Coturnix japonica: one gene and its partners. The main gene of each other region encodes a partner of the protein of the gene in region 3 in a complex. Links are inferred from orthologs where the notes say so. Each region holds a gene or a part of one and is shown on either strand. Other genes may lie near its edges.

Region 1 (3,555 bases), on a different chromosome or scaffold from region 3:
ATTAGGTATGTTTGACTTCAATAATAAAAAACAAGTTTTGACAAGTATTAGATAGATGATGTAGCAGCTAATGAATTAAACTTGTAGAGCATGCTGTGCTGCGAACTTATTTGAGTACAAGATAATGGAAAGGTATGTAGTCAGTTAAGAGGATTTGTCCTTTGATAGTATACCTGATGTTACTCTTGAAGATCTAATTAAAACCTCCACTAAACAGCTCTGCAGCTACTGGGGGGGGGGAGGGAAAATGTTGAGTCATCCCATGCTGCTGCAATAGCAAACTATATGTTAACTTAAATGTCGTACTGTGGCATTCATTAATTATGTCTAATGAGTCACAGTTACTGGATTGTATTTTAATGCTAGCCATGTAAAATTTATTTTAAAGTGTGTTTTAATCTGTTGCTCCTATCTTCATTTAAAATTACGTAGATGAATGCTCAGTAAGCAGCTGAAGAATGTTGGCTTGTTTTGTAATTTTGCCTGTAATAATGAAATGCTTATCTTCTTGCATCTAATTCAGATAACAGTAACGCTTTATTGAAAGTTGTGGGGATAGCAATTATTAGAAATATTGTTTTGTATCAAAAATAAAGTACTAGGGAAGTTCCCCCGATCCATTTTTTCTTCTCCTTCTAATCAGTTTTCACTCATTTATTTGTGCTGTTGAAATTATTGGCCTCAATATGTTCTCTTACAGAATCTTACAAAGGGCACTTTGGTCCAATTCACTGTGTGAGATTTAGCCCTGACGGGGAATTATATGCCAGTGGCTCAGAGGATGGCACACTAAGGCTGTGGCAGACAACAGTAGGAAAAACCTATGGTCTTTGGAAGTGTGTAGTTCCTGGTAAGTGTGTGTTTTTTGTTTTTCCTGGTTTTACTTGGCTGTTTCATTCAGAAATCTTAACAGTTTGAATTCAGTTTCAAACATCATCTGAACTTGTTACGGTATCTCTGCTGTCATTTGGTATCTTCATAGCCACTCAGGTCTGCTGGATTTAAGGTTTTACTTCTGTAGCTGTCACTTAAGCAATTTAAATGTGAGCTTAATGAATATAGGCACTTGGTAACAAATTGCTTGTGTAGTCTCAAATCTTCATGTTATAGAGCAAGAAGTATGAAATAATTTTGTGAATACTTAGGATATAAGAATTTGGTGGGGAGGGGAGTATATAAAATTTCTCTGTACTTTCTCTAGTATTTTTGGGGGGAAGGAGCTCAGGGGGAAGCAGTACTTAGAAAACTGCAAACGAGTAATAGTTGATAGAATTGGTAACCCAGCTTTTTCTCCTCAACACTAAACAACTGAGGTTCTTGGTTTTTTTTCTGGGTTTTCAGAGTGAAACCCAATTTTCACTCTGGTTTGAGCAGAAGTGAAGGGACTAACCATTTCTTTTCTTCTCTACAGAAGAGGAGAATGCAGAAGCAGCAAAAGCAAGGACCAGCCTTCCAGGAACTGCAGAGGAGGAAATAGGTAAAACATTGAACTGCCAGCTTCTTTAGCAGGGAAGAGTTAACTTTTACCAAGTACCTTCAGGCATTTTTCATTCCTTGAAAGATCTTTGAGCGTGTTTTGACACTTAGCACACAGTTTCCTAGAAAAATACTGACTTGAGCTGTGTGATCTTCATCATCATCATAGTCTCATAGTCTCGTGCGGGTAGGAAGGGACCTTAGAGATCATCGAGTCCAACCCCCGAGATTTGAGTTTCTGTGTAGCACAGTGGCACTTCTACCACTTGCGCCACAGGGGGGATTCGAACCCGGGCCACAGTGTTGCAAAGCAGCATTCCTACCTCTGAGCACACTTGCAAACTTCCTACCGGGGCACACTTGCAAACTTAACAGATATGGTAGAACCTGAATTGGGTTAAATGGAAAAGAAAACTAAGCTGGTCACTGCACATAACTGCAGCATTCTTTGGTTCATGTACATAAATTGATTATCTCTATTTCATTGCAGAAGAAGTTGCCTCTGAAAACTCAGATTCAGTGTACAGCTCAACTCCTGAAGTCAAGGCGTGATTATCTCAACTGTTATGCAACGTATGGACATACAAGACTAAATCAAGTGAGCAGTGATAAACAGCAGCCTTCCAGAGTGCACTCTCTACATAAGGCAAAGATGGGCAGTAATTGACGAGAATGCAGTGGAACTGGCTAGGTGTTGTCTGTAAGAGAACTGAGTATCCAAAAAAAAGACAAATAGTAGAGTTTTGCTATCTTTTTAGCATGACTGTCTACTGTCTTTTGAAAGAAGTGTGCAAGCCAAGATCCAGTCTCTCCAATTTCAATTAGACTCATTGTAGTGCGTTTTTCTTTATTACGGAGAAAGAAAAAAAAATATGGCTTTTACCCATTATTTTTTTTTTTCCCTTTAAAGTTGGAAGATTTGGCTTTAGTTGAAAAGAGGATTATGTACTAAAAGTATTCAGTTTTTGTTTCATTGTACACTGCTTCTGAATGTTTAACTGTTTTCAGTTATCTAAATAAAATGCCTCTCAAAACTCTTAGCTTTACTGTTTAGCATTGGGTTCATGGAATGGAAAAGCAGCCAAGTTAAAGGTATAATACTTTCTAGCATCTGTTTTTGTATTATACAGAGGGAAAGCAATAAGAATGTTTTAGTGTTTGGTCTAGAGAGTGGCAAGTTTCTTGATATGTAAGCCTTGCACATTTTACTCTTTAACTTTTGAATGTAAAAGTGAGTCTCTAAATCAAAAGCATTGAGGACTCCTAAACTAAATGTACTGACTGAAATATGGGGCTGTACATGAAAATCTCAGAGGTTGGCTGAGTTTGTAAAGAACCTTGGGTTTAGTTCTGTAGACTGGATAAAAAAAAAGTTACACACGCAAGGTCAAAACCCATACTTTCATCATTAAAGAGAATATTGCCATTCTTCTGCTTGTCACTGTTCCTTTAATTTTAATGCTGAAAGACTTAAATAAGTTGCTTTTTTTGGAAAGGAAAGGTAATATATAAACACATGTTCATATACTTCCCTGATTTTTTTTTCATGTTAAGACTTGTCCTTAATCTGACTCTTTCCCCAGTGGCATCCAGTAATGTTAGAAGAAAGCTTACGCTTAATGTTTGAAAACCTTACTATAAATTGAAACCGAGGTTCCTATGTCTATGCGTATATATAAAGTCCAAGCATAAAAAAAAAACCCACTTTCTCAGTGAGGGCAGCAAAATGCTGGAAGGGGTTGGTTGCCTGCAAAGGCTGTAGAGGCTTTGGTGTTGAAGATGCACAGAAGCCACCTGGACATGGCTCCAGGGAGCCTGCTGCAGCTGAGCCTGCCTGCATTGGGGGCCTGGACTTAGTCTTTGAAGCTTGCTTCCAGTCTTAATTTCTTCTGTGGAAGTGGGAGGAATAAACAAGGAAAATAAAGAAGGATAAAATTAGTATTGATTTCTTGGTATACAGTGGTAATATTAAAAAATGAACAATAAAGTAACTCCAAAATTAATTTTTGAATAATCTATTCATGTTTTTGACCCAAAAACAAGTGCCTCTCTCATTGCTAATAGTTCATGTCACTAATT
Region 2 (2,552 bases), on a different chromosome or scaffold from region 3:
TCCAGTTACAGTAGAAGCAACAAAGTTCAGAAGAAATGTCATTTCCCACATAAATACGTTAATTTATTGTCCTTATTTAATTTCTCTCACAAGAGATCTTCATTCATTTTAGGCTACCACAACTTCCAACAATTTTTTTGCACTATTGTACTTGCAGAATAAATGAATATGGTTAAGAATAGAGGAATTTCTTAAATATATATATATGTATATATATATATATAAATGACACCCTTCATTTCATCACCTGTGTGGGCTTTTATTGCAGTTATCGTTTAAAGTAATCCTTTCCCCTTTTTGGAGGGGCAGCTATGTCTTTTTCATTCAAAGAGCCTACAGGAAACGTGAAAACACGGCTATACCTTGAAGGGGACAGTCACTACCACCCTCTATTGGTGCATCTGCCTCATCTACTCTGTTCCTTTTGATCTTGCAGCAGAAACCCACAGCTCCCGTGCAATGAGTACGGAGTCGGTACAGCTCTGACACCCAGCGGCCACTTCACTCTCGACCGGCTCCTGAATTCCAGACAGTTTCAAACTCGGCTTTGACTGATTGTTGCTTAGAAGATAGATAGTTTAGGGTATTATATTGTTTTATTGTTTTGACACTGCTTTGCATGGCCTTGGCTTCATAAGATGCTCATTTATGAAGAAGCGGCCTTGAATCATCTGGATTAGATTTCCGTGGGTTTCTTTGGACTATACAGCATTTACAAAGAAATAGCTTGAAGCATCCTCTCAGAAAATTGCTGGCTACGTGTCTTTCCTATTTAAAAGCAAATAATTAAAGTCAGCACTCCCATGTGACAGCATGTATTGTTCCACACTTATTAAATTTAACATGGATTTTAAAACTAGAGAAGAAAAACTGCTTATTTGATGAATAATAGAATGTATTTCATTCCCAACTTTGACCAAGTTTGATAGGTGATACAAATTATAATTTACAAGTTTTATATCTGATTATTCTATGATCAAGAAAGACTACTTATTTGATGAATCATAGAATGTATTTCAGTCCCAACGTTGACCAAGTTTGATAGGTGATACTAATTATAAGTTTTCTATCTGCTCATGAGTTTAATATCCACATGAAATATTACCCACATCAACAAAAGAAAAATAATTTCCAATGGTAACATTTGATCCTAGCTTAAACATAGCCCTTGTGCCTGCCCAGCTGCAAAGTTTGCCTTTGCCCACAGAATCATTAAGGTTGGAAAAGACCACTAAGGTCAAGTCCATCCATCAGCCCATCCCTGCTGTATCACTATGTCCCTCAGTGCCACGTTCAATTGGCTCTTGGACACCTCCATGGTCCAACATGTCCAATCTAGGACTACACCCCCCGACATGCCTTTATAAACCCGCATATTCTTCCCCCCCCCCCCCCTCATCCGGGATAGTCGGCGAAATCCCCCCCGCTCTCCGTTATGGGAGCGGAAAAGGATCCCTTCGTCCTGTGGCGTCATTTCCTGCCGCCATTTGACTTGCAGGGGCAGCGCCATGACGGACCGCTACACCATCCACAGCCAGTTGGAGCACCTCCAGTCCAAGTACATCGGGACGGGCCACGCCGATACCACCAAGTGGGAGTGGCTGGTCAACCAGCACCGCGACTCGTACTGCTCCTACATGGGCCACTTCGACCTGCTCAACTACTTCGCCATCGCCGAGAATGAGAGCAAGGCTCGCGTCCGCTTCAACCTGATGGAGAAGATGCTGCAGCCGTGCGGGCCGCCCGCCGACAAGCCCGACGAATCCTAACCCGTTGCCCTGCACACCGGCTCCGGGCTGGCTGTGACTCCACACGCCGCGGGGAGATGGTGGGAGCCGCCCCGATCCTCGTGTCCACCGAAGGGAGCTGCAGGGAGAAGGAAGCTCTGTGTAACGCCCTCTCTTGGACACTTTCGTTACGCTCAGTTGCACGGCTGTTCGCCCTTTGTGGTTTTTTTTTAATGGGAAATAAAATCCGCTGTCTGTTTCTAACGTGTTGTGTGGTAATCAACAATAGCAGGACACGGGGAAATGGTTTTAAGTTAAAAGAGGGAAGATTTAGGTTGGATGTTTGGGGGAAGTTTTATTCCTAATGGAAAATGTCAAAGTAAAGCCTGGCTAAGGTTGTATGTGAGTTTACCAGTGGCTTTTTTGAAGTTGGTGACCTCAGAATTTCTGAGCAATAAACGCCTCATACTCTTTACCAAGCCTTATAATCTAAGCTGCTGAAGATGCTGCAGTAAGAACAAGTGCATGCACTCCTGAGGTCACATTCAAGCCATAATATCCATCTGAAGAACTCAGGAATAGATTTTGTTGTTGCATGTACTACAATGAGGGCAAAGATGAAATGATCCTGAATCAAATGTAACCTGCTACATATGTGGGGACTAGTGCTGTTTGCAAGCCATTGTAAACAATGTGAGCAACAAGTGTAAGGCACATGGGCAGAGCTGAACGCCTCCTTCCTCCAGGCCATCTCTATTATATGAGCAAGGCTGCTTTCAGGGAGAAGTCTGAGTTTTGGCTGAGAAATTTGGCTTTCCACTGTGA
Region 3 (3,757 bases):
GGTGGACCTGTATTTATTATAGATCCATACGAAGCTTCTCTAGGAGCTACCTCAGTTTGACTGTTTGCTCTGTAAATGCAGGTGATAACACAACCTTAAAACAACATTAAAAATTCTTCATGAAGAATAACTTCTAACTCTTTAGAGGGTAAATTACAGCAGTATTGAACAAAAAGGAAGCAAGATGATCTTTGAAACTCAATGCATCACACAAAAGTACAAAGAAATCAAATCCATGTCCACTGTTTTCTAGACAACGCACTTTGAAATCCACCTCCAACGTATTTGCCAGCTACAGAAAGAAGCCAGAACTCTATTGTGCCTAAGAGGAGCTCTGTCATATAACAGCAGACAGGGTTTTGTCAGAAACATTTATTAAACAGAAGTTACCAACATATATGTAGACAAGTTAAGAGCCCCTTTAATAATAATAATAAAAAAAAAGCATTTTGGTCAAGACCAAAATTATCTTCGCTTCTGGAAGATGTTGCCACGACCCATACCACGGCCTCTTCCTCTTGCAGCCACTGAAGAAAGAAAACATCAGGGATGACATGAATTTGATGCAACACATTTATCTCAACAAGTGACAAACCAAACATCAATAACTCTCAGTCTCTTCCTTAGAAGCACAGAAGTTAAGCTACAGTATGAGGCCTGGGAAGTGATAAAAGTAAATAGAAGTTTTCTGTGAAAACAACTGTAACTAACAACTACACAGCTTTGCTATTCATAACAGAGTATGCATTAAGAGCAATGAAATAGTAACACACCATTGTTCCTACTTTAAATTGTGTGAATCTGTAGCCAGAGAGATTTAAGACCTCCTGCTCTTCATACAGCGTGACAGAACTCGCTATATTTTGTCAGATGTTACTCCCCCACACATCCTTACTGCATTTGGTAGAGTTAACCAAGGGCTTCAGAGCCCATGATTATTTCTTGATCTTGTTATAACGAGACTGTTCACACAAAAAAGGTATTAAAGAGGATGAACTGCAGAATGGCTAACAGTTACTCATTTAAAAAACTTAAAGTATCAACCAAGTGTACGTATATGTGTGTGTGTGTGTATATATATATGTATGTATAAATATATATATATATATATATAAATATATATATAAATATATATTTTTTAAGCTTAAGAATACTTAGATCATCATACTTTGGGTAATCCAAACAGGCAGCAACCACATTTACAGAAAACCAAAGGTGAAGTTTTACCTAACTCTAGCAAGGCCACTTACTGTTCCTGAACTATCTGCAGTATCAGTATTGTGCATCAGTCTGAGTTTTGACTGCTGTCACTCATTCAGCTTCTTACAGCTCATCTTTGCTTAGTGTTAGGGATGAAAACATCTCAGTTTCTGTACAGCAAAACAGGAAGGTAAAGAGGGAACACCAGACCACAAACACACTGTACCCACCCTGAGCTTTGAGAATAGCTGCTTTTCCTCGGCCAGCTCCAGAGCCCTGGTTCTTATTCTTCATGCTCTTTAGCATAGGAGCGTTCTTCAGCATATCTGGTAAAATGAGAAACCGTATCTTGCTGCCTCTGTACACCTGCTCAAGCTGCGCCACTCGCCCATCCCTGTATGTCACTGTTATGTTGGACATCTGGAAAGTAAAGATCAGACAGTGGTCTCAAACACAGTTTGTTTTAAGTGGCCTTAAACATAGTTTTGTACTCCCACTACTCCTGCTCATGGAATATATATATAGCCAAGATTCAAGTAATAAACTCAAAGCCCTATCAAGCATACAGCCTTCAACTGTTATTGTTATATAAGGCATCTATAACCATTTAAACACAGTCTTAAAGCTTGCTAAAATTTAAGCAAACTCACTATTTTCCCCTCCTCCCCACTTGCTTAATTAGTTTTATTAGTTTTGTTTTCTTATTCAGATAGTTTAAATAAAGTTTTACTGGTCCCAGCTATTAAGGACATTTTTATTTCAACTACAACTTGCATGAAGTTATCAAAATTAAGGCTATTGCAATGCCTTAAAGTCCTCTGCATTAAGCACAGCTCTAAGCTCATAAATTAGAGTTTATTTATTATCAACAGGCAATAAACAAAGAACTGCTGAAGAGAAGGTGCTCACAGAGGAACCAGGAACAGGAAATCCCAATTCTGAGCAATTTGGTGTGCTCAGTAATCTGGAATTCACTTCATTACTGTAAGTGCACAGAGTAAAAGGGCTTTATTTATCCTAAGACTAAAAGTAAAAGGTCTTTAAATCCCGCTGTCAGTCTGCTGAGTGCAACCACTTCCAAACAGATGAGATAAACTTCTTTTACCTGGCAATTCATGTTGTCCTCAGCCTCAATGAGCTTCCCACGATACACCTCCCCAGTGTTGGTCTCGCAGGTCACAATGTGGCCCTCTGCCTCGTGCAGGACTTTAATGGGCACCCCGATGGACATGGCTGCAACACTGCGGCTCTACTCCTGGGACAGAGAGCACAACATAGAAGTGAATAAAGGAAACAAACTCCCAGTCGTTCTGCAGTTCGGCTTTGCCTACAGGAGCCGATTTGCTCCATTGAACAAAGGCCTCAGTGCTTTGGCAATACACGCCTATCCCAAGGCCCGGCCCAAGGCTGAGGGCAGCCCACCCTCTCAGCCCACATCTGCCGCCCTACGAAGCTGCAGGCACATAACAAACCCCCACAACAGACCCACCCCATAACAAACCGACCCTATAACAAACCCCCACCGACACTCACCTCCCACCAACCACCCTAATGGCCGCCGCCTTCCCGCCGTGCACAGAGCCCCGGAATCGGAAGGGCACAGGAGCGGATCCTGCTACTGCTCCTGTCCCTCAGGGTCTCGCTGCCTTATCACGATGGTTCCGCTGCACTTTTGTTCCTCCCGAAGGCAGCTCCCTCCCTCCCAGCTCCGAGCAGCCGCTTCGGGGTCCGCCCCCTCCGCAGCCGGGAGGAGCCGTCGCCGCAGCAGGGCATGGCGCGGCCCTAAGTCCGGCGGGGCGGGTAGTGAGCGGGCGGCCGCCGTCATGAGGAGCCCCCGGGAGCCGGGGGAGCCCCCTCCGCAGGCAGGTCAGTGACAGCTCCGGGGCCTCGGATCGGGGGCGGCCTGTCAAGCACTTGGTGGAGCTGAGAGTGCTCCGCCTTGTTTACAGCCGCGGGTCGGGCCGTGACAGCTCTGTTGGGGGTGGGGATGAGAAGCGGGCAGCGCTGGGCCTGGTTGTTACCTTTGAAGTCATAGTGTATGGAGAACAGGGACATCCACAGTGAGTTGTGGTGTTAGAAGGCCCTGGATGGTAACAGAGAATGGACCTGCTCATAACACAGCTCATAACACACCGCCAATGCTTACATTACTTCCTTCAAGCGGGATTTGAGGGGCTGTTTGTCCTTCTAAAGTATAATCAACATTGCTAACAAACACTGAGTACACCAATGGGTGTGTGCCAGCTTTCAAAGTTATGATTAAACCCAGTGACGTGATTGAGAAAGTGCACCGCGTTGTTGCTGCAATAAGCCGTAACTCAGTGAGAAAACAGTTTAAAACTGCAAGACATTGTCCATAAAGTTTTACATATAAAGCTGTGTTGAAACTGCAGCAGCCCCCAGGATGCTGAATGCTTTTTATCCCCATCTGAAAGCAGAGCTGACTCTGTGTTAGCAAAGGTTTCCAAGGGTCTGTACCAGATCGAAGGTAAAGTCATTAAGAAAAGCCTTTTATGATTAACTCACTTGGATTGTCTTTGAAGTTACAATGCCAAGC

Evidence for each region.
Region 1: SNRPD3 (region 3) and STRAP share a complex: the UniProt entries of both Homo sapiens proteins name them as parts of the SMN-Sm complex. The link is inferred for Coturnix japonica from reciprocal best matches to the Homo sapiens genes SNRPD3 and STRAP.
Region 2: SNRPD3 (region 3) and SF3B5 share a complex: the UniProt entries of both Homo sapiens proteins name them as parts of the minor spliceosome. The link is inferred for Coturnix japonica from reciprocal best matches to the Homo sapiens genes SNRPD3 and SF3B5.

What each region holds. Positions count from the first base shown.
Region 1 is NC_029516.1:57,773,563-57,777,117, forward strand, and holds the end of STRAP (serine-threonine kinase receptor-associated protein), read left to right. Parts: coding exon 1-5; intron 6-700; coding exon 701-850; intron 851-1,411; coding exon 1,412-1,477; intron 1,478-1,966; coding exon 1,967-2,028; 3' UTR 2,029-2,905; downstream 2,906-3,555. UniProt on the Homo sapiens protein: The SMN complex catalyzes the assembly of small nuclear ribonucleoproteins (snRNPs), the building blocks of the spliceosome, and thereby plays an important role in the splicing of cellular pre-mRNAs.
Region 2 is NC_029518.1:41,251,643-41,254,194, reverse strand, and holds SF3B5 (splicing factor 3B subunit 5), read left to right. Parts: upstream 1-1,455; 5' UTR 1,456-1,508; coding exon 1,509-1,769; 3' UTR 1,770-1,991; downstream 1,992-2,552. UniProt on the Homo sapiens protein: Component of the 17S U2 SnRNP complex of the spliceosome, a large ribonucleoprotein complex that removes introns from transcribed pre-mRNAs.
Region 3 is NC_029530.1:7,447,932-7,451,688, forward strand, and holds the start of SNRPD3 (small nuclear ribonucleoprotein Sm D3), read right to left. Parts: upstream 2,851-3,757; 5' UTR 2,734-2,850; intron 2,456-2,733; 5' UTR 2,432-2,455; coding exon 2,306-2,431; intron 1,621-2,305; coding exon 1,431-1,620; intron 528-1,430; coding exon 466-527; 3' UTR 1-465. Other genes in the region: protein GUCD1, read left to right, coding at 2,856-3,066. UniProt on the Homo sapiens protein: Plays a role in pre-mRNA splicing as a core component of the spliceosomal U1, U2, U4 and U5 small nuclear ribonucleoproteins (snRNPs), the building blocks of the spliceosome.